Drosophila melanogaster: one gene and its partners. The protein of the gene in region 3 purifies or fractionates together with the protein of the main gene of each other region. This does not show direct contact. Each region holds a gene or a part of one and is shown on either strand. Other genes may lie near its edges. The genes, in order: CG1371, PMCA, MRP and p23.

Region 1 (9,277 bases), on a different chromosome or scaffold from region 3:
GTTGGTCAGCTAATTAGTTTCTAATCGTCTGCGACAAACAGGTAACCACAGGTAGAACTGCTCAGGCCGTAAGAGCGGGGATCGGATGGCACACGCTTCCGGTGCACTTCTTAACCCATTAGTCGTTATCTGTTTTCGCATTGTGCAAGACCACATTTTTATTTATAATTTTCAATGTTCGGAAATGGTAAATCAATGATTTAAAATTATATACATATACATATGTATGTACATTTGTATATACAATAGTTTTTGAAAAGCTTCTATTACTTTTTTGTGTTTTGTATCTTACTTTTTTGTATTACATCATTTGTTTTATATAAATTCAGTTGTGAAAAGCTTAATTAATTATGGAATAAATCGGACGAATTGTTTCAATCTAAGCTCTGAGACCTTTTTGGTTTTATGCAGTGTTAATGAATCTGATTCAATGATCTGTGCAAACATATATGTACATATATCAGCATTGAGCTGGTATGTCGATGTACATGATATTGTAAGATCTAGATATATCACGTGCTTGCACAGAGGGTTAACCATCAGCCTCACTTAATGGAGCACGGCCAAGAAGCAAGACGATCTCGAGGCGATTTTTCAAAGTCAATGCCGGGCAATTGACTTAGCTACAGTACAGACACCCAGTCATGCCATTACACATATTCTCCCCCCATTGAGTAAGTAGCGCTTCTCTTGGGCATTGTTTGGATCGGATCAGACTGGGGAGTTCGGACCCATATATACCGTACTGTGGATTCCTTATGTGCTAGTCGTTTATCGCGCGATCGGCGATGATATTTATTAGACATGCGCCGCAATAGCGCCAACGACGCTTGAAATGAATTTCTTTGCAGCAATATCTCGGGGCCTGAGGCCTCAGATCGGTTTACTGTGGATTGATTCGCACACTCATCCATGTACAAACATAGATACAAATGTACGTATATTCGGGTGTGAGTCTTTATCTTGCATTGGGGTGATGGAAATTGGTTCCGATTATTAATATACGACAAGCCATTATCTGTTTCAGCAGACGAGTGTGTTCAATGTCGATGCCAAATGGCGAGCGCTTAATAATAATTGTATTCACTTTATCGCACTTCTTTTATGGCCCATCCTTAACGATAACTCAGTTAAGATTCCTTCAAAGATATAATAAAATGAAATATGAAGTGAAGAGGTAACATTCAAAATATTTATATCTGATCATCGAAAATGTAAGGGTATTGTTGCTTGTCAAAAATATATAAGTTTATAAAGTAAATTGAAAAACCAAACATAAATAAAGCAAACTGATCTACAATATTTTGAATATTGAATATTAATAATACTATTGTAGATTTTTAATTAAATTGCAAGCTATGTATTATTTATCAAAAGTAACGTGCATTTAAATTTAATAAAAACGATACTAAGGCTTTTGAAACCGTTATTTTAACGGATGCAGTATTTTAAATACTCAAATTTTTATAGTTATATGGTAACTATCGCAAACTGAGTGTGTACATTAACGAACGGCCACACTGTTGCCCGTATTTGTAAGGTGCAGCCCTGGTCACTCTGGGCACGTAGTCAAAATGAGGTTTTTTTCCGGCGTTTTCGTAATTTTATTAATTAAACTTTTCCAAAATGCCAACGCCGGCGAGGTGGAAGTCGTCGGCTGCGGTGGATTCATCAAGAGCCACGCCGAGATTGACTTTTCCCGGGTGGAGATCAAACTGTAAGTAAAAGTTCCCTTTCTGGGATGACCTGATAAGAATTGTGGCGCATGGTGGCCGCTAATTGAATAATAAATTAACTGGCCCGTATGTGATTAACCTAATTCCATCTCGCTCTGCAGGCTGACCAAGCAGGGATCCCTGAAGGACAAGACGGACTGCTCACCCTCTAACGGATATTACTTCCTGCCGATTTATGATAAGGGCGACTACCTGCTCAGCATTTCTCCGCCACCGGGTTGGAGCTTCGAGCCGGAACAGGTGGAGTTGAACTTCGATGGCAAGACCGACGTTTGCAGCCAGGGTCGCGATGTGAACTTTGTGTTCAAGGGCTTTGGCATCACCGGTCAGGTGGCTCTCGCCGCCGGCGGCGGTGCCCGAGGCGTAGACGTGGAGCTGCGATCTGAACAGGGCGAAGTCCGGCGCACAAAGAGCGATGCGAACGGAGTGTTCTCATTTACGCCCATTATTCCCGGTAACTACGTGGTCAAGGCATCGCACGCAAGGTGGCACTTCTCCAAGGCGGAGCACAAGGTGGTTGTGGTTAGCGGCAACACCGAGCTGCCGGCGAACTCTTTGGTAGTCTCAGGATTCGATGTGGTTGGTCGCTTTGATTCCAGCTCGCCGCTTCCTGGAAATCTGGGTGTGGCTCTTTACAAGAAGAAAGGAGTAAGTATAGTTATTTTCTAACACATTTTCTGAAAAGAAAGAACACAAAAATTGTTTAATTTATTTAAAACTGCTGTATACACTTTACATAAATTAAATTAAGTTGTTAACTTAATTAATTATTAACGTTTATCATTATTCTCTTTTTAGCAATCTTTAGTGCCAAAATGTGAGACATCCTCCCCAGCGCCGCCTAATAGTGTTAATAGCGCATACGAATCCGCATCCTCCTGCTTCTCCCAGTTGGACAAATCGGGAGAGTATATTTTCAAGAACGTGCCATCTGGAAAGTACCTGTTGCAAGCTATCAACCTAGATTCCAAGTTGAAGCTGCACTTGAGTCCTGAGCTGTTGGAACTAGAAGTGGGCAAGGATACGCTGCAAATCAAGGACGAATTTAAGATCACAGGCTTCACCGTTTCTGGTCGAGTTCTGACCTCCGCCGGAGGGGAACCGCTAAAGTCAGCTGTTATTAAAGTTAATGGAAAGAAGGTGGCCGAGACTGATGCCCAGGGCTCATATACGTTGGAAAACTTAAAGGCAGGCACAGTCAACATCGAAGTGGAGTCCTCCCAGCTGCAGTTTTCTCCCCTGCAAGTCAAGGCTCAGATCAACACAGCTTCCCTGCCCACCATTGTGCCATCTGCTTATGAGGTGTGCGGAAAAGTAGTGTCGCCGAAATCACATAATGTGGGACTTACCAAGATCGGCTCCACCTTCCACTCGTCGGCTTCCACAAACGCGGAGACCGGAAACTGGTGCGCCTTTCTTCCTGTTGGCAAATATACCATTGAAGTGCTGACGACGGATGCTGACAAGGCCGCTGGAGTGCAGTTCTTCCCTGTTCAGCAGCAGACGGAGGTTCGCGATGCACCCGTCAATGGCATAACCTTTTCCCAGCTGCGCGCAAAGATTCGCGGCGAACTGCAGTGTCTGCCTGATGCTACCGCCACCTGCACTTCCGCTGAGGTCACCCTGCAGGCCTTAGATGCCACCGGTCAGCCCACGGAGAACAAGTGGAAGGCCAGGGCACATCGTAAGTAATTATTATTTAGTTTATGCGTACAAGTACAGCAATTTAACCATAGAAAATATAGGTTTAAATTTAATTATCCTACTTACAAGAAATAACATGCAGTTTTGAGATAACCTATCTTAGAAGGTTTAAAAATTATTCAGCAGAAATGGATATGTGCTAATACTTCTAGTTTCAAAACCATTATTATATTTAAATTAAAAAAGTATCACGAAGTTCACTAGGTAAGAATATTAGTTGACACGGATTTCGTTACCAGTGGCCGCTGATAAGTAATAAGATTACAACAGTAGATAAAGTATCTTTGGCGTGGTGGTTCTGTTTTAATTAAGATGGTCTTCCGACTAACCATGTATCATCCAAAATACCCTATCATCAATCTTATGGTTTTGGATTGTAGGTGGCAAATACGTTTTTAAGGATATGCTTCCCGGTCCCTATGAACTTACAATTCCCCAGGGAAATCTCTGCTACGAATCGACCCGCGTGTTCCTGAACGTTGCTTCTGCTGAAGAAGATGCTCCCCCATTTGTACACAAGGGCTACGAGGTGTCCATTATCTCTAGCCATCGGGCACTGGTAAGTCTGACACTTTAAACGACTTCATATGTATATTAAATGATGTAAACATTCCTTTTAAGATGAAATACACCCACGTCACTGGACCTTCTGAGCCAAAGGCACCTACTGAATCGCTGAAGATTGCGTCAGGAGTGAATACCTTTTGCGTGAAGAAGTATGGTAGCTACGATTTTAAGCTAGAGGGCTGCCACACGTATGATGAATCGTTACCCAGCAAATTCATTACACCAGAACCAGATCAGTTGCAAACACTAATCATTAATGCAGTGGCCCACAAGACTGGCGTTCGAGTTCTGTCTACCGAACCCACTGCTGATTCCATTAAGCTTGTGCTCGAATCTGAATCGCTGGGTCAGGAGGTGATCACACCTGTTGCTGAGTCCCACAAAGTAGATGGCAAGTTCGCCTACCGCTATGACACGTATTTGAAACCGGAACAGGTACTTCGTATTACACCAGTGAGCGATGTCCTACTGTTTGCGCCCCAGCAACACGAAATTGTTGGCAGCAGCGATTGTGTAGATATTGCCTTCAACTTTGTGGCTACCAGAGGTTTGATTCTACGCGGAAAGGTTGTTCCTGCCATTAAGGATGCAAAGATCACACTGTCTTTCCCTGATCAGCCTGAGTTGGAGAGCCTGGAAGTACTCACGTCCGTCACCGGAGAATTTAAGTTTGGCCCAATTGAAGAGTCTCTTGCTTTTGACCTTAAGGCCGAAAAGGAGTCGTACGTTTTCAGCGACTACAACCGCCAGACAGCTTCGTTTAGTGCTCACAAACTCTGCGAGATTTCGGTGGTTGTCAAGGATGAGGCTGGTCAGACATTGGGCGGAGTCCTCCTTTCGCTGAGCGGTGGGGAGAGCTATCGCAAGAACCTCGTCACCGGCGATAATGGAGCTATTAACTTCCACTCCCTTTCGCCATCGCAGTACTACCTGCGACCCATGATGAAGGAGTACAAATTCGAGCCCAACTCAAAAATGATTGACATTAAGGATGGCGAGACTGTTTCTGTTACCCTTGTGTAAGTAAAATTTCTGATCATTCCTCAACATACATATAAAGAAGCATTTCTCTATTTTTAAAGTGGCAAGCGTTTCGCTTACTCGATCTTTGGCACAGTGAGCTCCCTAAACGGCGATCCCTTCGCCGGCGTTAATGTTCAGGCCACAGCCGATAATTCGTGCCCCCAGCAGCCGGAGGAGGCCACCAGCGAGGCGAATGGACAGTATCGCATCCGAGGTTTGCAACCTGGCTGTAGTTACTCCGTTCGCGTCGTTCCCGACAAGGAAATCGTAGAGCGATCTATTCCTGCCCAGCACACGGTTAAGGTGGCCAACGAGGATGTGCGTGACATAAATCTGGTGGCTATTAGCCCCTTGAAGATTGTAGACATCACTGCTAGGGTGACGGCCACACTCAATGAACACTACAAGACGCTGCGCATTGTGATGTACCGCAAAGGAAACTCGGATTCTCCTGTGTTCTCGCAACGTGTGGGCACCCCGGTGAATCCTAAAGCAAGACTGAACCCTGGTATCACCGTCTTCTTCCCTCGCATTCCTCTGGACGGCAAGAGCTACGTGGTAGAACTGCAGTCCACCCTCTCCGATAAAACATATACCTACAAGCTGCCATCGACTACGTTTGTGGCTGACAGGGGTTCCGTGTTCGTTGAGTTGGAGTTCAAGCCGGAGGTGCGCGCCGCCGAAGCGGATCTCAACCAGAATTCGATTTCGGCTCTGGTGCTCATCGCCTTGGTGGCCATTGCCTTCTTTAAGCAGGATCTGGCCACCAGTTTCCTCAGCTTCGTGTGGAGCAAGCTTAACGATGTCGCCGCCGATCTCGCCCAGCGACAGAAAAGCAAGACACAGGTGCGCAAGAACGAGCCAATCAACCAGCGCGAGATTGAACAGATGGCCGACCAGATAAATGCCATCAAGAAGAAAAAGACCAAGAAGATTTAGTTCCGACTGATAGTCGCATTAGTTGTTCAATTTAGTCACATTTCGAGGTATTCGCGGTAGGTATTCATTTGGTTTTTGTTTCTGTGAGATTTTGTTTAACCCTTTTTAATTTGAATTGCATTTAAGAAAACGTTGTAATTTTTCACTTTCCATACATAGATTGAGGCAAGTTTATTTGTGTTCGTTATCCACTCTTATAGCTAAAATAAATAAATACAATTAAATAGATTAATTAGACAAGGCTGTTCTACTGCATCAGGATGTGCTCGGCAATGGAGCTGAGCTTGCGATTCTTGTGCTTGGCTCGTCGCCTTTCGGCTTGGAGGTTGATCTCATTCTGGGAATCCTCAGCGGCAGATTCCTCGGTGACTGCCTGCTCCTCCTGTTGCTGATCAGCCTCCTGGTGTGCCTCCGACTCCGGATTTTCCTCGCCGTTGTCGTTCTCCACGAAAATGCACTCGGGATTGACGGCAGCACACTCGCCAAAGCTGGTGGCCCTGGCCATAGGATTTCTGGCATTGGTGTACTTCTCAAAGAAACCGCGACCCACAATGCGGAAAGCCATGCTGGTCAAGGGATTCAACTTGGATCTAAACTCCATTTCGCAGACAAATCGGCGTCGGCACGCCTTTGAGTCCAGGCCCAAAAAGGCGAACATAAAATCGGCAATCCTAAAGATGAATTTTGAAAATGTTACCTTATATAGTGAATAAGAAACGTTCTGTACTTACTGCTCTTCGGCGGGCATTTGGCGAGCCACGCTCTCTGAAATTTCCTCATCCACAATCTCCACATGCTCTTCCTCCTGCTCATCTTGGATCAAATGGGCGTTATCTGCAGCGCTACGGCGTCCGCGACGGCGCGTGTCTACGGGACCAGATGGGCCACTTGGTCCAGAGGGAGATTCGCTATGGTAGTCGCCATGCACATCAGAGACAATGTCCGATCCAGCATAGCTGCTGTATCCGGAATAGGGCTCGAAACTGGCGCCGGAGTCAAAAGATGAAGGAGCATCATAGTGCTCCGAGTGATCGTGGTCCAGAGAGTAGGGAATGTGATCGTGATGAGAGAAAGACGAAGGACTAAAAAAGAAATGGAATTATTAATAAACCAGTAAGGGACGCAGTTTTGAGAGCTTCTTACGGATGATCAAGGATGATCTCCTGGTTGCACCTGGCATGGGGCCAGAAATAGCGCAGACCCAAGTAGATGGCACTGCCCACAAAGAAGGATACGATCACCACTTTCACCTTGATCCAGTAAGCAATGGCAATGGGCCATAGGTGACGATCTGTAAAGATAATAACAATGATATCGACACGATTAAATAATTTTCCATTGCATCAGATTTGGAAAACTTTCACTGTTCGACTTCTACTTCTACTTTTGAAGAAGGTTTCACGACAATTTATTAACCAATATCTTTGCCCAAGATTGAAAGTGAAAAGTGTTAATTGAGAGCAATTCGTGATCGTCCAGTTTGGATGAGGTGCGTCTGGCTTGGGATTTGAACTGTGCGGAAACTTTCGAAAGAAAGTGGGATGGTTAACGCCCAAGAGATGTGATTATGTTGATTCCGAACGATCAGAATAATTGTAATACTTGCTCGCTAATTGTTATATAAATTAGGCTTTTTGATAACATCTTTTAGTATCTATGTACTGCAAAGTGTCGTGGTGATTATTGTTAGGTAACTTTTATAGGATGTTTCTGTTTAATCTAAGAATTGCAGAGATAGGGTGAGATGTTTACACATTTTGGGAGTTTAAGATAGCTAACTAAAATTATAGTTGTTTTCTTTAAATTAATGTCCGATATTACTTACACCAGAACATGTGGTGACGATGGCGTCGAGTACGTCCCTCAAACTCCATTAGCTCCCGGCCGAGATTTTCCCATGTGTCCTCCACTTGGTTATCCAATTGCGCCGGAGCCTCCTCGTTCTTCGTCTCCTCGCAAAACACCAGCGTGAAGTAGACGACAAGGAGCACAGCTCCGTACCAAATGGTGTTCTTGTGCATGATTGTTTAGCGTTGTAGCGGTGTAAAGAGCAAAAGCTGGTATCCCTGTGGCTTTGGTTGGTCACTGCAGAACCGAATGATGCAGCTCGAAGCCGGGTAGCCGGCTTATATACCACCGGCTATCGGTGATCCGCTCCAAGTTCAGAGTGATAATTGAAGCGTCGTTGTTGTGGCTTTGCGCGCAGATTTTCACACATGCGTATTGCCCGCGATGACGAGTTTAATGCCCAAGACATGCATTTGAAATTTCTTTAAACTAGTGCAATTTCACTTTCATAAGTCGTGCCCGCGTTTCTAGCCACTTTTGTCTTTGGTTCAATTAGTATCCATTACGAAATATGAGCCTACATGTAAGGTAATTGACAATTGGCGATTTTCCCAGAACCGTTTTCAAAAGTTATGTAAAACCCCGCCAAATCGAACCGGTTAAAAAAGTTCTTGCGGGCTATCGGACAAGTTGAGCATATATCGATCTAGAACTTCCATCTCTAATTAAATATTGTAAACATTTGTTGACGTTATTGGTTTTGTAAATAAATGCATCTTACTTAAAGGATGTCCAGCTTAAAGTCAAACGATGTGGACACCAATCCCGCGCCGGATCCCCAGGCGCCCATTACCCGGAAGGGCTTCCTAATGTCGCTTAACACCGGAACACCCATGCCGATTCCCGAGCAGAATCTGGTAAATTAGTTTCCTTGTAGCTAATCTTCATCAGAACATTTGATTTATGCGAATATCTCAGTTTGGCCGCTGTCGTCCTGTCTCCGAATTCGAGAAACTGAACCGCGTTGGCGAGGGCAGCTATGGAATTGTCTGTAAGTTTGGTTCCATATGCATTTAACGCATTCGGTTAACCTGAAATCCCCTGCAGATCGCGCACGTGACACTCGTAGCAATGAGATTGTGGCCTTAAAGAAGGTCCGCATGGATCAGGAAAAGGATGGTCTGCCAATTAGTGGACTCCGCGAGATCATGATCCTAAAGCAGTGCCATCATGAGAATATTGTCCGCTTGCGTGAGGTGGTGGTGGGCAAAAGCTTGGACAGCATCTTCCTGGTAATGGATTTCTGCGAGCAGGACCTAGCCTCCGTGCTAGACAACATGTCGCAGCCCTTCACCGAGTCCGAGGTTAAGTGCATCACCTTGCAGGTGCTTAAAGCCTTGAAATATCTCCATTCGCGCTTTATGATCCATAGGGATCTAAAGGTATCCAATCTGCTGATGACCGACAAGGGCTGCATTAAAGTTGGTAAGAAGATAATCTATATTTAATCCCGATATCGG
Region 2 (7,554 bases), on a different chromosome or scaffold from region 3:
TAGACAGCTACAAATTAGGTTTGCATTTCCTTTCACGGTGCGTAGTCCATCTGGGAAATTAAAATTTAAATATATTATTACGATTTAAAGACACTTATTTAGTTCTTAGCTTCATAAATGCAAAACCTTTCAAAACAAAAACAAAGCATCCGACAAGATTTTAAAACCCACAACTATTACTTGTAGTTTAACTTCTGCGATCAAAGCACTGAATTTCCTCAAAATACAGTTTAAATCGAGTTTTTAAAGTTTGAATAAATATGTTTAAAAATGATTACCATATACTAAATATGAATGCATTAAAAACAGCTAGTACAAAGGTATGCTGATACTTAAAGGAGTATTTATATACCGAATGGCTTTGTGCTTATGTGTTTCCTTTAATTGTAAAATACTAAAAACCCAAAGGCATTCTCTATGTAATGCACAATTTATTTTGGCCTGGCAATGCTGGAACTAGACGCTTCCCTATAATGGATTAGGTCTACGCGCAAAAACTTTAACAAATCAGCCAATCAAATCTTGGAAAATAATTGATATTTGAGAGATATTTTATATGAAGTTCATATTTAAATGCTATACGACAATTTTCACTTTTAATGTTCAAAAAGACAAACACTATTAAGAATTATCAAAATTAAAAGCCGAACTGAGACCTCACACACGCAATTACTTATTAGAGGTGAACTTACAGAAGAAAAATATCGATACATAGATTGCTTAAGCTAAAATCTGAACATTGCCCACTTATTTGACCGCAAAAGCGGAAACAGTATATAAGCGTATTTTACAAAATTAGCATTCCACTATGTTTCCACTGCAGAAAAAATATTTGAAGATATTATTACTTTTTAATAGAAACTTAATAATTTTATAACAGCTCAACAGAAATGAGTTCATACGCAATGGAACACACAAATAATTTGAAGTCTAGAGAATTTTTCTTTTATAAATCTAGATAGGGATTGTTGTTACATAAGTTAAGTGAGGTTTAGTGTCGGAAATAATGTTTACTTTGACGATCATTTTCGAATTAATATTTGTGGTGCGAATATGAATCAAATCATATATAAATGATATACATACATATATGTATATACATACATATACATATATACAATAATTTCTGGACAGGTCGTTGTTTGTACTCTTCTAATTCAATCGATGCAAAGTGCAAAAGCGAAACAAGGACATGCTGGTTCTCAAAATTAATGGTCCGTAGGGTATTGAAAAGAATGAAAAAGGTTTTATACTTTTCAAGGAATTTTGTACACCCTATTACTCTACAAATAAAATATGTAGTTTTCAACGAGTTTTATGCATTATACATAATGTTTGGGTGTTTTAGAATAGAGAGTATAGAATGTTAAATGTATATATGTAAATGCTTTAACAATATTCCTATGGTATATGTAAACTCGTTCCGATTTCTTGGTTTCAGAAGTATGGACTTTATTAATAAATAATAAATTATGTATTGGCTTTTAACATGGTTTTGTTTTATGTGATAGTGCCAATCAATATATTTTTAACACAATTACATTTATATTTTCCGAGTGTAAAGAAACGTTTATGCTCTTATCTCATAAGAAGGTGATCGTCGCAGTACTAACGTAAGATAGGCAAGCAAAAGATAAGTTGATGCGACAATTCAGACAAACAGCTGGACAGCTATCTTTCAAATACTTCTCTTTAAATAACTGTGGCGCTGAGATTTTGCCGCAGTTCAGTGTAAACTTATATGTAGGCATAACCGATTTTCTAACATTTTAACTAAAAAGAAAAGTGAAGAGGTATTACGACGTAAGAGAGATATGCTACACGAACATTTGTGCTAGCGCGGCGTAATAAAATAATTTATTTTTACACTACATGTGAAAATACATCGATATTAGAATATTACAGTTTTGTGAAAACTAAGTGATTTCGATAGTAAAAGTTTGATATATCGATATATATTTCCCTGTGGAAAAATAAATACTGCTGAAAAGGAAGGCGTCACAGTGTCAGTACTTTATATTAAATATTTCGCTATATATTGTGGCGTTTAACTTGAGTCGTGTACAATTATTTCGCCTTCTAGTTGTGTACGTATTCCAAAAAAAATGCAGTTTTTAACAGTTAAACGAATGGGTACGCAAAGGAATGTAATGGGGCCAGGAAATGAACATGATATCATTTTATATTGTATGTTTTCCGAACATACGCTGTTCTCGAAATGAAATTAAAGCTGAAAGTTACTGATAGAGTAGCCCAGAATCAAATCCAAATGTGTACAATTTTCATTTGCTCGAAGGTTCATCATATTACTCCATGGTCAATATGGCCAACACCAATTCATATGTATGTATGTAGCTCTTGTCGTGACATGACGTAAGATTTCTGTTGGTGAAGAGAAGGTGGGGTGCACTTCCTTTGAACAAGTCTCGAATATTTCAATGAATTTGAATTGATTGGGTTTATAATACTTTTACCCTGAGTATGTTTATGTTTTTATTAGGAAATATAGAATCAACGGTATAGGATACATTTCCTGTGCACCTGTTCATTTACTGTGTGTTCATATCAAAAAATTCATGTGCACGTACTATGTGTGTACTATATATGTAAATTTAACATGTGCAAAAAATAGAGTGAGGCCCAGTTACCGACTAGCATGTAATTGTTGCAAAAATTTTGGCCAATGGCTCGAATATTTGTCAACTAGAACTAAAATAGATACATGTAAAATGACTTCCCTGACGTACATACATATGCGTGAATTTATTCTATTTATGGAAATCGTTCACACCTCATCAATATGAAAACTTTTAGTTTAGTACAATTGTGTAAATGAAAACAGTGTTTTTATACCCATTACTAGTAGAGTAAAAGGTATAATAGATTCGCTGAAAAGTACGTAACAGGCAGAAAAAAGCGTTTCCGACCATATAAAGTATATATATATATCCTTGATCAGGATCAATAGCCGAGTCGATCTATGAACGTATGAATCCAGATCTCAGGAACTATAAAAGATGTTTGAGATTCGGTATAAAGATTCTAAAGCCGCAGAGCAAGTTTGTTGACTCACTTTAATTTTTTCTCATTTTATTCCACACTATCTATCTATATGCCAAATTTTACGCTCGCATTTCCGCTAGCTGAGTATAGGATTCTGTCTTGTTTAATAAGTGAATCGGAAATTTAAAGAATTAATACAAATTGGATGTTAGGAACATCAAAATTGACTTGTTAGTTAATTTAAACTATTTATGTCTTTCCTTCTCGCAAGTTCTGTTCTATTACGTGATGATGAAATTTCCGAATCGATCAACTTGTTCCACTGAAGAACTCTGAAAACGCCGCAATCTTTTGAACCGAGTATCAGATTCAGAATTGAAAGCTTTCAATAAATTTCAATAAAATAAGATAACTTATGAAACAGGTATACGTTTATGTTCTTCGTAAATTTTGCATCGAATTTAAAATGTAATTTAAACTATCAGATGACCGTTACTCAGCTAGTCCAAGTGGAAATATCGGTAGAAATTGGGGAAATAAAATTTATTTTATTGCTCTAAGATGAGGACGGGATTAATTTGGGCGGTTTTTAGGGGTCAGAGTGGGCGTAGACAAAATGGTTTCGGCGTATCGATAGAAATAGCGAAAACAACTGATTTAGTCCAAAAATATTAAATCATTTCTCAAAGATAAAAATTTTTTTGGCAAATCGATTAAAATTTACAAGACCTAATAATAATATGAAATTTTAAAAAAGAGTTCGCGTGGCAGTTTTGGGTTTGTGGGCGTTAGAGTGGTCGTGCCAACATCGGTCAACAAACTTGTGTTGCGTATATGCCTCTCACAACCTTCTAGCTTTTAAAGTTTCTGAGAACAGACAGACGGGCATGGTCAGTTCGACTCTGCTACTAATCCTGATCAAAGAATATATACTTTATATGTTTGGAAACGCCTTTTGCCTGTTACATACTGTTCAACGAGAAACGGGTGTAAAAAGCTTGACTGTGTAGTCGAGATTGACTACTCAGTCAAACCATTGTGTAACTTTCTTGCTAGAATATGATATATAAATATGAATCATAAATAAAAAAATTTCTTAGGATATCTTTGTGAACTCAACTATGCCAAAGACACTAGAATATTTGACTATGCTATGCTAAAGTTTTTACATAATTCGGTCAAAATTGATTTTTAATAGTATTATGCCATTGTCTTAATCAGATTGGAAGCTTATCGTTGACAAAAATAAGATTATTTAATAACAATTTCCTGGAAAGAAACGAATCGGATCGATCTACTTTTAGCTAGATATTTATTGCATTATCTTGAACACGGCAATGCGTCACACACGTTCCTTTTTTGTATGACAACAGCTTACTAACAAGTAAATCTATTGTTTTTATAAATGATCAATAACTAAGTGCCATTTTAGCACTAAGAATTACACGTTGAAAATTGTCATGTTGTCTGGCTTCTAAAATAAGTCAATTTGAATAGAGATTTCTTAATTATATTAGTGTATGCGCAGCTCTCAGAAACTGCTCACAAAAATTGCATGGCACACTTTTATATATAGACAACTGATCCGCATTTCCCAAAAACCGCGAAGTTCGTTCAAATTGTTACGTACATATATACAGTTACGGTTTGAAAGAAATTATATGGTCAACGGATCCATTGTCAGTAGATACAAAAATAACTTTCAATTTAGTACGCAATTTAAGACTAGTGCGATTTATATATTGTATGTTGACAAACAAATTCACTAAAGCAAAGAATCCGTGAAATGAGACCACAGTTATATTTTCTTTTGCCTTCGTGTTCTACTAAATCCACATTATTTTCATTACCTTTTATCACACATAAAAATTTGGCGCCTACCGCGATCGTCGGTGTCTCGGCAGAGCGTTTTACCGTTTGTCTTGGTTATCTAGCGGTGTAGTGCTCTCGACTTTTTAATAAATTCAAATTTCAGATACTCGAAAGCAAAAAATATATACATACATAAATGGTCCATTTGCATATCTTCCTATTACTCCCTTGCGCGTTAACTAGAGAAAATATTCGTTGGGAAGTACTTTTAAAAATAAAGAAATTATCTGCGCTATCTAGATGTTAGGCTTCTGTTGAATTTATACATTTTTAAATACAGATAAGACCATAACAAATGGCCACTATAGATGGAAGACCGGCGCAATATGGAATTTCACTTAAACAACTGCGCGAGCTCATGGAGCATCGTGGTCGTGAGGGTGTAATGAAGATAGCTGAAAATGGTGGCATTCACGAACTATGTAAAAAGTTATACACATCTCCCAATGAAGGTAAGTTTTTCTCTATTTACAATATTAATGTATTTAATTTATATTGAGTTTACTTTTACAATACTTTAATTGAATTACCATAAGGCCTAAGTGGATCGAAAGCTGACGAAGAGCATAGACGTGAAACATTCGGTTCCAATGTTATACCACCGAAGCCACCAAAGACCTTTTTGACTCTAGTCTGGGAGGCTCTTCAAGATGTGACCCTTATTATATTAGAGGTAGCTGCATTAGTATCGCTTGGTCTATCATTTTATAAACCCGCCGACGAGGATGCGCGTAAGTAGTTCAGTTTTGTGGTCCGTAATAAAATATTGTCTTTTAATATTGTTTTTTTTTACAGCTGTGTTGCAGGAGGAGGAAGAACACCATGGTTGGATTGAAGGATTGGCCATTCTTATTTCTGTTATTGTCGTAGTTATAGTGACAGCATTTAATGATTACTCTAAAGAAAGACAATTTCGAGGTCTGCAAAATCGTATAGAGGGCGAGCACAAGTTTTCAGTTATTCGAGGAGGAGAGGTGTGCCAAATATCAGTTGGTGATATTCTTGTTGGCGATATTGCTCAAGTTAAATATGGAGACTTATTGCCGGCTGATGGGTGTCTTATTCAAAGTAACGACTTAAAGGTAAGTTAAGAAAAAACGTAGATATAGACTATTTTATCAGTAAAGTATTTGTGAAACAATTTGTAATATAAAGCGCGTGTCTCATTTATATTGACGGTGATAATTTTTCATTCTGTAGGTGGACGAATCTTCTCTGACTGGAGAGTCTGATCACGTCAAAAAGGGGCCAGATGTTGATCCCATGGTTTTATCCGGCACGCATGTTATGGAAGGAAGCGGCAAAATGGTTGTTACAGCCGTAGGGGTAAACTCACAAGCTGGTATAATTTTTACGCTCCTTGGTGCGGCAGTTGACGAACAAGAAGCAGAAATTAAGAAGATGAAAAAGGGTTAGTACAATTGAAATAACATAAAATAAAATTTTTTATGATTTTTAACCACGTAAATAACCACGACTCTATAAATAAGATCCTACCTATGTTGTTTTGATACATATATTTGTCGTTAGGATGTAATTTATATATTTATTTTTTATTTTCTTTTTTGTTGGTATTTTTTCATATTCCAATTGTTCACATATTCCATATGTGAATTCCATGACGTGAATCGATTGACCCATCATCTTCCATCAACCCAATCAACCAACCAACCTGTCAACCAACCAATCAAATATAACCTGCAACCTACCACAACACAACCAACCAATGTCTTCAACAAATAAAACCATAAAATATATGGTTTCAAAATGTTGTCGATCCCAGAAGCGAAAAGGGCCAACAAGCAAAAGAATCTGACAGGTGAATTTTTGCATAATACTTATTTTTATTATTTCGCAAAGCAACAAACACATATTTTTCGAGCAGAATAGTATACTGACGAAAATACAATAGGCACTTCTACTCACCACGTTTTGTTATCAATAATGATGTTTAAGAGCACTATAATTACGTTTCTATTTTGATATATTTTTAATGATTGCTTTGTATCTTTTTTCGATGATCTTTCAAAGAGAATTACAATTATTACTTTTATAACAGTATTATTATAAAAACCAGTTTTAACGGTTTTTTCGAAATTGTTTTATATAAAAATCCATTCTTGCCAAAACGATCGGCTTAAATCAATACAGACTATTGTTACAGCTAACTTTTGTTAGCCGGCGGGCCTGAAAGGGGTCACCAAGGTGACAAAGGGGTTTTCAGCTACTCCGTATGCCTTAAAAAAATACACTCTATTGCAATATTAACGCTGAAGTGACTTTAGTAACTGGTTTTAAATGATCCTTTATATACATTCTCGTTGCCCCAAATAAAACAGCTGACTATAATTTCTTCTTAAAATTCCGCATAATTCCGTATAATAGTAGGAATGGCTTTTCTCAAATAGTGTTAGCAACTTCTCAGTCATAAGTGCAGAGGAATAATTTTCGGTTTTTAAGCTTAGTACAAAACTCTCTTCATATAACGGTTGCCTTTAAATTTAAATATTTATTTCATTGACAAAAAAAAATTGTAACTCAAATTAAATTCCATACCCGTTCATCTTGTTAAAACAAGATTTTGAAGGCCATTTAAAATTAAATTTTTTTCAGACTATCTGTCTGCAATACAAAGTTATTTTACTGACTTTACATATTATTAAATAAAAATACAATCTA
Region 3 (7,083 bases):
TCCATATGAATTACGATCATCGATGTTATGATCTTGGATGTAGTGTTGATTACCCCTTGAGTGGTAACCCTCATACTGATCATCATTCATAAGTGTATCATTTGTGTCATCGATGAAATCGGCATCATCTTCAAGAAATTCGCGTTCATCGGGTATATAGTCGTCTATATCATGGTGTTCTAGATCTAGATCCTCTTCTTCGTCAGTCCAGTCGGTGCGACGTAGTATTATTTGATTGTCATTCACAATACGCTGATAATTGTGCCTCTTTTGGGGTCCACGGTTTCCAACCTGGTCAGCGTTCACATTACGTGGATATGGTGGTTGTTTTGGATGCGCTTCAGGCGAACGGAATCGATCTCTTGGCAGCTGAATGCCGTCATCGCTTATAGCATTACGATCCAAGTTGGGTTGCTGATTCGAAACGAAGTTCTGATTACCAGGCCTGCGATTGTTGTTTACTTGGGAATGATCATTGTTTGGCATCTGAACACGATAGTTGATCTGGTGATTTGGTCCTTGAAAACGTTGGTTATTAAAGTTTGGGTTCTCGTCAAAAGTTTTGCGATTGAATTGTGCATTCGCATTACGATTGTTATGGTTATGTCCTTGAGGGAATGCTTGGTTGTTAACATTACGAGTATTGCGATTGAATTCATCATTGACTGCATTACGATTGTGATTAAATTCCTGCTCGTTATCATTTCGGATATTACGATTGAATTCATGCGGATAGGCATTACGATTATTGCGATTGAAATCCTGTGGATTTTGATTTCTATTGGGACGATTGAAATCCTGGGGGTTTTGATTTCTATTAGATCGATTGAAATCCTGTGGATTTTGATTTCTATTGGAACGATTGAAATCCTGTGGATTTTGGTTTCTATTGGGACGATTGAAATCCTGTGGATTTTGATTTCTATTGGGACGATTGAAATCCTGTGGATTGGGACGTGAACCCTCATTTCGGTTGAAATTGCGATTATTTTGATTGAATTCACTTCTGTCCATATTTCGATTATTTCGATTAAAGTCCTGCGCATTTGCATAACGATTGCGATTGAACTCAGCAGGATTCATGCCAGGATTATTGCGATTTACGGGTCCACAATTCCTATTGATTGGCTCCCGTTGTTCCACAACTCCGCGATTGTTGTTTGGGAAATTTTCCTCTCTCTGACGATTCCTAGAACGCGATCGATCCTTATTAGCCGGTGAGTTATTCATCCTGGCGCTGTGCCAATCAATGTTCCGCGGCGGCGACGGAGTGCGTGGCCGCGACTCGACGTCGTCGTGGCTAGCCACCGCTTCCTCGATGGCTTGGAGCACCTCCTTGTCCACCACATCCTGGTGACTGTCGCCCAGCTCGACGCTGAGGCGGAACCTCTGGCGCTGGAAATGGCGCAGGTTGAACTTGGGCACATTGAAGGTGCGCTGCGCCAAGGCGTTGGCCAACACCCGACTGGCGCCCAGGTCACGGAGAAATTGGCGCCGATTGTCCAGCTCGCTGTTGGCTATTTTCATGGTACCACATATGAAATTTAAAATTTAAAAAAGCAGACACGTTTTAGGTTAGAGCTATGTGGTCACGTTTAGCAAACCAATTCCAATCTAATCTACTCATGACGACAATGCTCACTGAAAATATGCATACAAATTTTAGTTTAAATCTATAATAGATTTGCTTTGTTTTGCATTTCTTCCCACCCTTTAATTGCTTTAACAAATTGTACAACACAAAAAAAAATGATAATTTCAATTGCATTACTACTTGATTGCCTTTTCAGTCGTTATCAAAATGCTGACTAAGTTTGATGTTTGATTTTTTGTCAATCTATAAACACTAAGCACTGCCACTATCTCATATTTTAAATTAAACATCTAAATTGATTAGATTAGAAATTCTATCACAGAATTCTATTCTATTGGTGTGTACTTTCGAAATGCATAGCAGCAAATCCTGTAGTTGTAGTTGTTAAGAAACTACTCAGTAATTATACATTTATGGCATCAAACACACAATAAACTGATAATCAATAGGTATGGTCATGCTTATACCAAAATCGTGAAGAATTCGCAACCAAACACCCATTAAATGCTCTTAATTGTATGACTACTGTTGATATCGTTATCATTTCGGCCCACTTTTGTTGCTCTTGCGACAACAAAACGTTTAAGAGTCGCGTCGTGTGTCCATTTCGGTTCAGAATAATTTCACCAGAGCAGGAAAATATGTTTAAATCGGCACTTAAAATCAGGAAAGAGAGTCGGTATCTTTCAGCTGGGTTTTATTCTGGACAAACTTGGCATTATTGGAGAGTCGGGTGCTTTGATGGCAGGGGGTTTTAATTGATCGGGCGGCCACCAGGCAGTCAGCGCCACAAAAAGAGCCAAGTTAAACGCTCTCCGAGGTGGCGCTATTATCTCATTTTTGTTGTTTTTTTTTTGAGCACGGAAAGCGCGGAAAACAAATAAGTTTGTTCGCAGCGCTCGCTTCGAATTCAGTTTGCCTTTTTGCTCGTAACGAGCCGGTTGTCCGTCGATTTTGAAGTGCTCCGCCGACGCTGCCCTCCATCCAAATCCAAATAGCGATCCGACCTCAACCGCTACGGCTCGTTTTGTTTCGATTCGATTCTATTCACTCCGATCCCCCACAACCGATTCGTTTGAATCGCAGCGAGTTTTTTTCTACGTAGAGGTAATTATAAGTGACATTTCAGTCGCATCGATACCGCCAACAACAACCACCGCCGTCCATTTTTGATACCCTTGTTGATATGTGGTTGTTGGATTCCGCCAAAGCGGAACAAGTGTGCCAGTGTGCGTTCGTATCTATGTGTTGTGTATCTATCTCTGTGTGTCCACATTCTTTGCCTGAAATTGTGAAATTTCCGAAAGGCTCCAGAATATCCCGCGCAAACATTTCTCAGCAAACGAAAGAAATACGAAAAAAAAAAAAAAGAACTGACGAGAAATCGATGATTCACATTCAAAGTAGTTTGATATGGTTAAGTGTTTTGTCATGCTCGCAGCTCGATTATTTAATTGATAACAGAAAAAGTGTAAAAATTGTGGTGCGCAAGGTTGTCGTACTGCTGTTCGTACGAACAAATTTGAAGTTAATTGCCTCGTGGGTTCCACTGACGTCACAGGCCTTGAAAGATGGCCTACGATCTGTGGGTTCGACAGCTTCTCGCCCAGTCCGATGGTAATCAAGCTCCAAGGACTCAGAATCAGCAGCAAGTGGAGCAAACAAGTGTGCGATTAGGAGCAATATAGGGTTTACGATGTGCAATTCATAACTGGAGCAACGACAAACACAATGGAAGAGTCTAGTAGGGGGACAGCAACAGGCAGCACACACGATAAGGTTCAGCTGTGGGGTCCCCGATAAGGAGCTGCTCGTATAATCATTCTCGCTATGTGGAAGTTGTTTTCTCCAGAGTTTGCACACTTGGCTAAATGCAGCCAGTCAGCCTTATCTCAGCTTTTTCCCTATTAATAAAAGTCATCAAGTGTCGAGTGTCGTTGATATTCTGTAAATAAATCACTCTTCTTTGGCGGTGTAAACAATTTGTGCCGGCTGGCATGATCTGATCCAGAACAAACAAACCGTGTGTGTCAGTCAGGTTGTGAAGAGAGTGGCGTTTTTTGCTGAGAAAATTGTCAGGTTTTCTCCTTGATTTTATGGTGCAGCCAAGAGATCTCCATGCCATTTTGCTTAGCATCTCATCGTGAGTCGACGTTTTTGTTTTTAAAGAGAAATTTCACTTGGGTGTAAAGGCAAAACACACACATTTCGTACAATTGAAATATTAGGTTTTGTAAGGGGGTTTTTTCTGCCGATTGTTTTGTGCTTATATAATCGCTGCGGGAACAGGTTTCGCCGTTAATTATATCGAACTGAAAATACTCGTTTCAGATGTGTTAGAATTTTATCTAAAGTCAAATGGCTTAAAACACATGCGTGTACGGGGCAAACAAGTTTTTGGCGCCCATAAAATGTGACTAGCCCAATACCTTTTATGAGCTCCGTTCAAGATTCGCTTAAAGTTTCTCATTCCTTCTTTTTAGTTGTGTGTATCTCTGTGTAAATTAGTTCTTCTTCGAGGCGGGGAAACACGTTTTAGTCGCTCATTTGTCATTGGCATTGTACAATCTCGCTGGACTATAAACTATCGTTTCAAGTGGGCGCGATTAGACCTTCCTCCAAGTGGCCCTGGACATGTAAACACTTAACTGCCGTAGCGCACAATAACGACGGCTAGATTACAAAACTTCGTACTAACTACCCGCTCAACCCTCTTTTTGTTTCAATACGATAGATAGTTTGTCAAATAATAGTGTGCATAGGAATTAAACTGATTTGTTTGGATAATTGATTTTTTGCCTTTGTTTTGACGAATTATCCAATAGTTAAGTGCAAAATACTAATTAATAACCATTAAAAGATTGGAAATTTGAATATACAAAAAGTGTGCACAAACTATAGTTAACTTACGGAATTAATTAAAAAATTTAGAGCAATTGATTCAATTTTAAATACAAGTAATTCGGATATGTTTTCAATATTCGTAATTGGTTTTTAAAGTCTTGTCGAAGATTCGTTAGGATGGGTTTTTCTGTCCTATGACGTGTTCCATTCGCGTGCGTTTGTTCGCCTTATCGCGGGTTCACTGTACCACCCCGAGCGATTACGCGCAATCGACGTCGACGTGAGATGTTTATCAGGTTGACATGGTTCCGCGCTCGCAGAGATTACTGTGCACACACAAGTGCTAAGTAGACCATAAACCCAGAGTCATGCCTACTACTAGCTGGCTGTAATCTCCGGTTAGATTCTCCGCGCCACCGGCAGCGATTGCTGTGCCATGTGAAGCTCCGGCTGTTGCAATGGACGCCACTTACCTGCGGTCGGCTGGACAATCAGCGAGTCTCGCGGCGGCGGTTTCTGCTGCGGGCCGCTGCCCTCCGGATCGGCGCCTCCAAAGTACTGGTTAATATTGTCCTCAAACTCGTTCTGCATTTAGAAAATGAAAAAAAAAAAAAACAAGTTCATCTTTAGTGGCGCAGATAGTTCCTCACATCGAATTTCTCAAGTTTTGCTTACCCGCACAAAGCGCAGGTTCTGGTCGCGAAAATTGTCGTTGCCCTCAATGAAATTGGAACGACGCGACATTTTGCTGCACGATTTCAATTGCCAGTTACGAGTTAATCCAATGCAAATGCTATTTTTGCGCTGAGCGACGAGCGAAAAACGCAAATTTTATTTGCCAGAATGGAGCTGTCAACTCGATTGAAATGAAAACTAATGTGACAGTGTGAACGCCGGTGGAAAAACATTTAATGCCATGCGATAGGCTAAAAATACTAGATAGGCGTTTTCCCTGTACAGGGTGCTCATTAATAAAAAGTAAATGACAAGAATTTTCGAGAATAATTGCTATGAATTTCTATATGAAACTTTAAAAGCTTAATCCAAATTTAAGAAATTCATTTGTATTTTTGCTGTTGCAAATGCAATTGATTTCTACTTGCTTCTACTAAGTTTTCCAAGCAAATGTATTTTAATAATTTATGTACAAAAATTACAAGTTTCACTTAAATCAATATAAACAATTAAAATAACACGCAGTGCAGAATTATACACTCATTTTCCATCCGACACCCACTGTGCCCGCGAAATACCAGAAAAATACTAGCAATCAACTTCCCACTGTCACGATTAGCGGTTGTTGTAGTTGTGCGGCTTGGGAAGGAACAGCTGTTGGCCCGAAAATATAGATCCGTTTATTTCCTTGCCGCTTTACAGTTACCACATCGCCCGATATAGCATACGCATATAGCCCAATTGCACGTGGAGGAGGTTGCCGAGCAGTCGAGTAACCATGGCGGATGACACTAGTTCGCCGATGGACAGATTCTGCGGATCCACGTTCTGGGTGAGTGCATCAGCAGTGGTGTTCAATCCGAATGCATAGTGTAAATGTATGGTTTCCGTGTGTCCAACGAACAGAACGCAACAGAGACATGGTATACCAACGATCCGGACTTTACGCCCTGCTTTGAGCAAACGGCGCTGGTCTGGACACCCTGCGCCTTCTACTGGGCGTTCGTGATCTTTGACTTTTACTACCTGAAGGCGAGTTTGGACAGGAATATACCGTGGAACAAGCTGAACGTGAGCAAAGCTCTGGTGAATCTGGGTCTGCTGGTAATCACTGCCCTGGACCTAATTATGGCGCTGGTCAAGAAGGGCGGCGACTCTGAGCTGCCGCTCTACGACCTGGATGTTTGGGGTCCCATCATCAAGTTCGCCACCTTCCTGTTGCTCTTCATATTCATCCCGCTGAATCGAAAGTATGGCGTGCAGACCACGGGATGTCAGTTCATCTTCTGGTTCCTGCTCACTGTGCTGTCGATTCCCCGCTGCCGCACTGAAGTTCGACTGGACGCGGAGCGCCAGAAGATTCTGAATTCGCAACAGCCATCCGAGCAGGACTTTTCCTGGGAGGAGTATCAGTTCGTTAGCTTCTTTATCTTCTTCACCTTCACCAGCATTATGCTGATCCTGAACTGCTTCGCGGACGGAATGCCCAGACAAACCAAGTACCAGAGGGGTGAGAACGAGATTCCCGAACTGTCAGCCAGTTTCCTTTCCCGCATCACCTATCAGTGGTTCGACAAAATGGCCCTCAAGGGCTATCGCAACCCGCTGGAGGAGAAGGATCTGTGGGACCTGAGGCCGCAGGACAGCTGCTCCGAGGTCATGCCCATCTTCGCCCACCACTGGAACCAGAACGTGCGCAAGAACTACAAGAACAAGGCGCGCGTAGAACCCAAGGCGCAGTTTAGCAATGGCAACGTGACCTTTGAGAATCCCCACGGTGAGAAGAATGGCCGCAAGAAGGGCATGGCCAGTATTATGCCGCCAATTTACAAGTCCTTCGGAGGCGTCTTTCTGTTCGGCGCCCTAATGAAGCTGTTCACCGACACCCTGACATTTGCCCAGCCCCAAGTCCTGAGTTTGATCATCAGCTTCGTCGAGGCCCAAGATGCCGAGCCCGAATGGAAGGGTAT
Region 4 (6,684 bases), on a different chromosome or scaffold from region 3:
CTGTTCATGCTCATCCCTCTATGGCAGTATATAACAGTGCCCTTGCTGCGCCGCTACTTCAACTGGGAGCTCCAGCCGCTCCATAGTGTGACTGTGGGTGGGATCTTCTCCGCCGGCGCCTTTTTCTGTGCAGGAGCCTTGCAGGAACGAATAAAGGTAAGCAGGAATAATAAGATACCTCACCTGATCGTTTATTAACCCGAAATATTCGAAGAATTCCCCGCCCCAAACAGTGAATATAGCTTGGCAACTGCCCCAGTTCCTGCTGCTCATGATGGGCGAATTACTGCTTTCCATTCCGGGTCTCCAGTTCGCCTTCACCCAAGCACCGACCTCTATGAAGTCGGTGGTCACGGCAGCCTGGTTTCTAAATAATGCTTTCGGCAATCTGATCGTGGTTCTGGTCACCGAGCTGGGTATGCTTAGCTCACAGATGGCCGAGTACTTCTTCTATGCGGTGGTAATGCTAGTTTGCATCATCCTCTATGCCCTTTTGGCCTTCGATTACACTCTGCAGGAGCGCAAGGCCGGAATGTATGTGAGGATGGACAGTGAAGCGGAGGACCGGGATGTGCCCAGCACCAGCCGCAGCGGGAGCATATAGGAGAAGTTTCTACGGTCTAGTATTTTCATTGCACTTGTAATTTATTGATAAACGCACACAGGCAAACATGCATTTAACTGAAAACAAATAAAAACTAAACTAAGATCAGTCGATTATCTTGAACATATACTGCAGCTCCAGGTTGGAGTCATCTGGCAGATCAGTGCAGTGGACGGCGTTCTGCACCTTGGACTTGCCGAACTTGGCGCGCAGCGTGTGAGGCCGCAACAGTTTGGCGATCTCCGGATCCATGGGTCCACAGAAGTTGCGGAACTCGCGATCAGTTTTCTTTTCGGGATCGGCGCAAGCAATCTCCATGCACATGCATACTCCACTGGCCAACTGAGCAACCATGGGTATATACTCGGGCACCACTCCGCGGTAGACTTCGTAGAACTCCTCGCAGTTGATTCGGGCCATTAGAATCATGCGCATGGCTGTCAACCGAAAGCCATTCGACAGGATTTCGGAAATGATGTCTCCCAGGAGACCATCCTTGATGCTGTGCGGCTTAATGATGGCAAGTGTTGTATTCTTGAATACACATTCTTTAATTATGCTGTGCCTCGCCTCAGATATGAACTTTAGGTCCATTTCCACGTCGTTGTCGTTATCAGAGTAGTAAAATCCATAACGAATCTCCTCACTTTCAAACAGCTCTTCCAAACTGGGCGACAGTTTCACACTGGGTGTTTCCGCCTCTGTGCTCTTGTACTGGGCGCAGGCCTTGATGGTCTCCACTACGTTGTCGCCGATTAGCTCCAGACTAATGGCCGGACCAGCCAGCAGCTCGTTCATAAGGACTCTGGAATTTAGAGGATAAGATGTGTTCCTTGGCATGCCATCTTTACTCACGAAGAGGAGACATCCGTCGTGTCCTTGCCGGACAGAAACTGAGTTACCATTTTGGGAGAGAACTGAACCATCATGCCCTGGTTTATGTTAATCTTGTTGTCGATCAGAGTCTTTAGGAACTTGCCCAGGTGCTTCGTCCACATATTGTTCTTGAGCAAAACGAATCCCCTGAAAGAGATGGGAATTACAGATTAGCGAGTGGATAGCTGTCGATGAAGGAACATACTTCTTGCGATATTTGGCTAGGTTTGTCCGCGTAGTGTCGTCAGCATAATCCACAATGTCAAACTGCCGGCCAAAGACATTGATCTTGGAGCCCACAAAGAAGTCGCGCTGGGTCAGCTCCGGGATCTTGGTGCGTCGCAGAAATGTGCGCTTGTTGCGCTGGTCGAACTGAGGGAAAACATGGCCTTGGTTAAATGTGTTTCTTTGAAGAACTTGTGCTACCAATCCTCACCACTTCCACGGCCTTGTCGGATACATAGTAGGTGATCAGAAAGGTGCGTATGATTCCAGCCTCTGCATGGAACCACTCGGCCACGAAGGCCAGACGCCGCTCGCTAGCCGGAATCGCAGCGGGTTTCATGGTATCGTTTTGAGGGGAATCTTATACCTTGCTTTTCCGTTCTATCGCTTGACAGCAAGTCCTTTATTTCGAGTGATAACTGTTTGTTTGCTTTGCATTTCAATTGTGCTTCTTCTTTCCCGCGTTGTCACAGCAACAGTGTTGCCAACATAACAAAATTCATTTAAGTGGGCGCAAAATTTAAAGAAAAAAATACCTATGTTAATTTTAAACCCAAATTCTAGGGGATTACCCATAAACAATTTTTAACCATTACCTATAATTTCTTTTTAAAATCGCTATCTATTCAAAGATAAAGCCTTCTTTGCGACATCTTTAAGAAGCTGGACTGCGCATTCCGAATTTAACAGTTTAGAGATTTCTAGAACATTTATAGAATGTTGTAAACTTATAAAATATTGAAAATAAAAAGCCGAATATAAGTTTTTCATTTTTTTTATTGTTAATTTCCTTTATTTACAGGAAACAAAAATAATAAACTGCAAACTGATTTTTGCAATAAATTGGTTGTAGCTTTCCTCTGGTTGTTAAATTCTAGCGTAAAACTTATGGTTTCCCTTGTCGGCGCCAAATCATCTTGTTCCTTGTGTTGCTTTTTGTTAACATCTCTCCTCTGAATACGCATAATATTCAGGTATATTAAATGTGGTTTTCTTCGATTGGAATAGTGTTTCATGTACGCATGCGTTTGTGGATGTTTTATGAGTGATTGAGTGTTTCTTCTTTTTCTTTTCTGGTGTGTATGTGAGGAGTGAGTGTTGTGATCGTGTGCTGACTTATGGTATAAGAGCCACGCCTAACGCTACGACTACGCCAAATTGCGAGACACCATCTGAGCGACCGTCTAGGCAGCTGGCTTCTTCTCCTTATCACCCTCGCCGCCCTCCTCGTCATCCTCGTCGTTCTGGGACAGACTTGGGATGTTGTCATCCGAGTCCTCCTCCTCGTCATCGACGTTGAAATCGTCGAACTTGTTGTTCCAATCGCCACCAGGGCTGTTAAGGAAATTTCCAAACATGCTGTTGTCTTTTTGGTCACCTGCAAAGTGCGTTTGTATGAGTGGGTTTGCTGGATGAGATCTTGGGGATGAGGATGTCAACTTACCCTCCTCGTCGTCGGACTCATCGCGCCACTTGGCAAAGTTGGCTTTTAGGAAATGCAACTTGGTCTTGTCCGTGGTCAGCGAGGACCAGTAGGGACCGGCCGCCTTCTTGGGTATTGTGAATTCCAGGCAGCGGCCAATGTTCTTGCTGGTCACCTTCTCGGGATCCACCTCGTGGAGGAAGTTCAGTGTGACCTCGTACTTCTTCGACGGATCCAGCACGTTTACGCCCTTGAAGGTGAAGGTTTTTTCCGTAACTCTGTTTTGGGATAAATATATGGAATTAGGATGTGCAAGGAGCATGGACATACTACATATGGGGGCATATACTTGTGTTCGATGTCCTTGCATTCGACATCGATGATGACGTAGATCAAGTCATTGCGCTGGGCCCAGGAAACTGGAGGCGGAATCAAGCTGCAATGGAGGATCAAGTTGGATAAACATAAATAAGAGCTTCATGTCGTTGTGCGAGATCCGTTGCCATGGCAACTCGCGTCGGACTTTCTGGAAGCGGGTGCACGAACTATGTAAATAGCTTCCCAGCTAGCTAGATTTGCATAAACCATAAGCCCAGGCAAAAGTCCATGCCGAAAATGCACGGCATTACCGCCAGCCGAAAACATAACCTCAAACACTGGACCCTCCGATTAGTTCCACAAATATCGCAATGCAGATGCGCACAGGACACGCCCACCGTGGACACAAACGCTTGGCCAGGCGGATGAGCGCGAGAATAAGGGTCATCCGAACGAAAATTATGTGTTTTTCACGGCCGGGAGTTCGAAAATGGACGCCGCCGCAACGACAAAGCACGCGACGCACAAAGAAGCCACAAAAAGATGGTCCGGCTATCGCCGATTGGCACTGAGATGGCCGGTTGTGGACTCACCCTGCTGCTGCCGACATTATGTTGTTGCTGTGAATTGTTGGTTTATGTTTTACGAAGTCGGAACACTTCTGACTGACAGCCTGACTTGGTTACAAAAAAAGGCAGTTTCTGTTGAACAAAATTGTCATGCACAAAATTGACATGAGAAACAGAGTTACCGAGCGCGCTGCGGAGATGTGACTAAATTTGAACGGTGCTCTGGGGTGCGAAACTTCGATAGTTGTACTCAAACCACAAATGTTAGCTTGTTACGTGTAACGTAAATTTGAAGTGTTGTGTCAAAACATTTTACATTGTCGGTAAAAAGTATTGAAATCAACTTTTATTTGGTTCAAGGAATTTATGATGATGATTATAAATCTATGATCTACCAAAGTCGGCACGTTTTGGCGCCAGGACGCATGCCGCTGCCCACGGAGCAGTTGTAGGCGTGGAAGAAGTCCTCGCTGTTGGACAAAACTCCCAGGACACGAAATTGGTCGAAGGTGTGCACATCGCTAAGACCTTTCCAGTAGTGCTCCTCCTCGTAATGGGAGCAAAATAGCTGGGCAAATCCCAGGAAGAACAACTGTTCCGGCGTGAGATCGAGACCCGGCATGGCGTCGCTTATCCTCTCCTGCCCAGGATGCTCCAGCAGTTGCTGCCTGTGACTGCGATAGGCCGTCAATGCTTGTCTTAATCCGCTATTGTCTGCGATATTCTCGTCCAGTGTAGTTTTTCCGTTGACACGCCTGCTGATCTCCGGTACCTGGTACTTGCCATAGTAGTCCATGTAGCACTCGGCGCGATCCTCTAATGCCTGTTGCGAAATTTCCGACAACAAGGACTCCATGTGACCATTGCCATCGAAATAGGAGCTGGTCGTATCGAAGCCGTGGATGAGTTCATGACCAACGATAAAACCCAATGTGCCGAATTTCAGGGAAATCGGCAGGTGGCGTTGGTATATCGGTGGTTCCACCACGCCAGCCATCACATTAATGGAGTTGTCCGGAGTGTAGTAGCCCGCTCCAACCTGCAATCCTGTCAGGATCTTCTGTGGCTTGGTGTCATTGGTCAGCTCCTGAAAATGCCGACTGCTAAATCGATTGATTTGTACAACTAGGTGCTGCAAATTAATGTTGGTCTCCGCATAGCGATCCTCGATGACTTTCAGACTGTTGATTTCCCGGATTATTCGATCCGAAAGTGCATCATCTTGGAACGAACCAATGCGTGGCTGTATTCTGGACTCCTTAAGCAGTGCCCTCGCCCTGCTCTCCGCATCCAGCCAATCGGCATCCTCCAGCGCCTTTCGCAGACTCTTTCGCAGTTCCCGCACCATTTCCGACATCTCCAGCCTCTTCGCCTCACTGAAGTTGTTCTGTAACACAAGAGTGTTGAGATTATTTGGTATTCTCATCATACGCATTCGTTACCCACAGCCATGTAGAGTTTGTTGAACAGAAACCGCATGGATTGATAAAGCGTAACCGAACAGTAGTTCCTTTGGTACCTGGGCGCCTTCAGTTTGGGATCGAATCTATAGAGCAGCTTCATGGCCAGGTAGTTGGCCACAGCCTTGCGATGTCGGGCGCATACTTTGTCCAGTTCAACGTAGTAAAAGTCGCAGAATAATTTGTTAGTGGAGTGGAGTCCACTCCACGAGATGTTATAGTAGTACTCCGATTGGGGAAACACTCGCTTAATTCGGTAGGGATCAAACACTTCGCACTGGGGCGGGATCTCGAGTGCGTCCCGCCAGAAGGCAAAGACCCCAGCGATGGCCTCCCTAATCCTGTCCTCCGGCAAGCCGAACGCCCTCAGATATCCGTGCATTCGCTCTTCGTTCAGGCGAAAGGCGCGTGTGGTATTTCTGGAAATGTTTTCCTCATGTACGATGATGTGATCGAAGCCCAGTTCGGGCAGTTTGGTGTAGGGCTCAAAGGGATACCTTAACTGGAGAGTTTCGCGGATCAGACCGTTGGCGCCATAGTTGGCCAGATGAGCACTCATGTTGATCCAGTTAAAGTTTGAGGCTTTCCAGGCGTCTCCATCCACAGCGGGAAATCCTCCAATCGATCGAATTAGACTCAAGTAAGCGGGATCCGCCGCATTGAAAGGATGGAGATTTGCTCCCAGACAAGCGTTGTAGAATCGCTGGGCCACCGCCAGTTCGCTGGATACGTTTAGAGCCTCCGCCAGATCCATTCTGCCCAGCAGTTGCTCCGTGATGTCGATCAGTGTGTAAGTCACGTCGCCCAGGTTGCTTCTACTGCCCGGTGAGTACCGATCCGGCTTTACGTTCCGATAATTTCCACAGGCATACTCGTAGAAATTCTCGCAGGGCTCTACACTTTGGTTCATATAGGATTTCATGAATTCCGCGTATTCCTGCAGTTGGTACTCTGCCGCGGATCTATTGGTCGAGCTACCATTGCTATCGGAATTTTCGGACCTGTCCACAAGGCTCCTGGCCTCGCAATCCGTCAGAACCGCAGCCACAATGACCCACAGCAGCATCAGGGAGATCAGCTTCAGTGATTCATGAAACATATGCGTATTTTATGGGAACACTTCTCAATTGGAACTTATAAAACACACTGATTTAAATCGCGAACGAAAACTGGCAGAATCCCAATAAAATCAAGAGAGCAATAATACAG

What was found.
Region 1: the proteins of MRP (region 3) and CG1371 purify together in Drosophila melanogaster (affinity purification with mass spectrometry, with the first as the bait; one large-scale study listed by BioGRID). This does not show direct contact.
Region 2: the proteins of MRP (region 3) and PMCA purify together in Drosophila melanogaster (affinity purification with mass spectrometry, with the first as the bait; one large-scale study listed by BioGRID). This does not show direct contact.
Region 4: the proteins of MRP (region 3) and p23 purify together in Drosophila melanogaster (affinity purification with mass spectrometry, with the first as the bait; one large-scale study listed by BioGRID). This does not show direct contact.

The regions. Positions count from the first base shown.
Region 1 is NT_033778.4:10,067,903-10,077,179, reverse strand, and holds CG1371 (uncharacterized protein), read left to right. Parts: upstream 1-1,534; 5' UTR 1,535-1,574; coding exon 1,575-1,717; intron 1,718-1,837; coding exon 1,838-2,384; intron 2,385-2,534; coding exon 2,535-3,420; intron 3,421-3,820; coding exon 3,821-3,999; intron 4,000-4,061; coding exon 4,062-5,026; intron 5,027-5,089; coding exon 5,090-5,969; 3' UTR 5,970-6,199; downstream 6,200-9,277. Other genes in the region: CG12920 (uncharacterized protein), read right to left, coding at 6,217-6,640, 6,701-7,051, 7,113-7,260, 7,795-7,990; Cdc2rk (Cdc2-related kinase), read left to right, coding at 8,546-8,674, 8,736-8,808, 8,865-9,242.
Region 2 is NC_004353.4:353,083-360,636, reverse strand, and holds the start of PMCA (plasma membrane calcium ATPase), read left to right. Parts: upstream 1-1,979; 5' UTR 1,980-2,087; intron 2,088-5,155; 5' UTR 5,156-5,170; coding exon 5,171-5,327; intron 5,328-5,411; coding exon 5,412-5,606; intron 5,607-5,670; coding exon 5,671-5,957; intron 5,958-6,075; coding exon 6,076-6,286; intron 6,287-6,658; coding exon 6,659-6,694; intron 6,695-7,554.
Region 3 is NT_033779.5:12,716,540-12,723,622, forward strand, and holds the start of MRP (Multidrug-Resistance like protein 1), read left to right. Parts: upstream 1-2,505; 5' UTR 2,506-2,701; intron 2,702-4,911; coding exon of another isoform or gene 4,912-5,023; intron 5,024-5,113; coding exon of another isoform or gene 5,114-5,182; exon of another isoform or gene 5,183-5,304; intron 5,305-5,733; exon of another isoform or gene 5,734-5,815; 5' UTR 5,816-5,891; coding exon 5,892-5,945; intron 5,946-6,019; coding exon 6,020-7,083. Other genes in the region: Pih1D1 (PIH1 domain containing 1), read right to left, coding at 1-1,517, 4,912-5,023, 5,114-5,182.
Region 4 is NT_033777.3:9,675,442-9,682,125, reverse strand, and holds p23 (p23), read right to left. Parts: upstream 4,200-6,684; 5' UTR 4,057-4,199; coding exon 4,040-4,056; intron 3,565-4,039; coding exon 3,478-3,564; intron 3,407-3,477; coding exon 3,150-3,406; intron 3,084-3,149; coding exon 2,890-3,083; 3' UTR 2,468-2,889; downstream 1-2,467. Other genes in the region: CG9444 (uncharacterized protein), read left to right, coding at 1-156, 215-604; nmdyn-D7, read right to left, coding at 710-1,409, 1,460-1,627, 1,686-1,852, 1,917-2,045; Nepl12 (Neprilysin-like 12), read right to left, coding at 4,407-5,402, 5,462-6,574. UniProt on the Drosophila melanogaster protein: Cytosolic prostaglandin synthase that catalyzes the oxidoreduction of prostaglandin endoperoxide H2 (PGH2) to prostaglandin E2 (PGE2).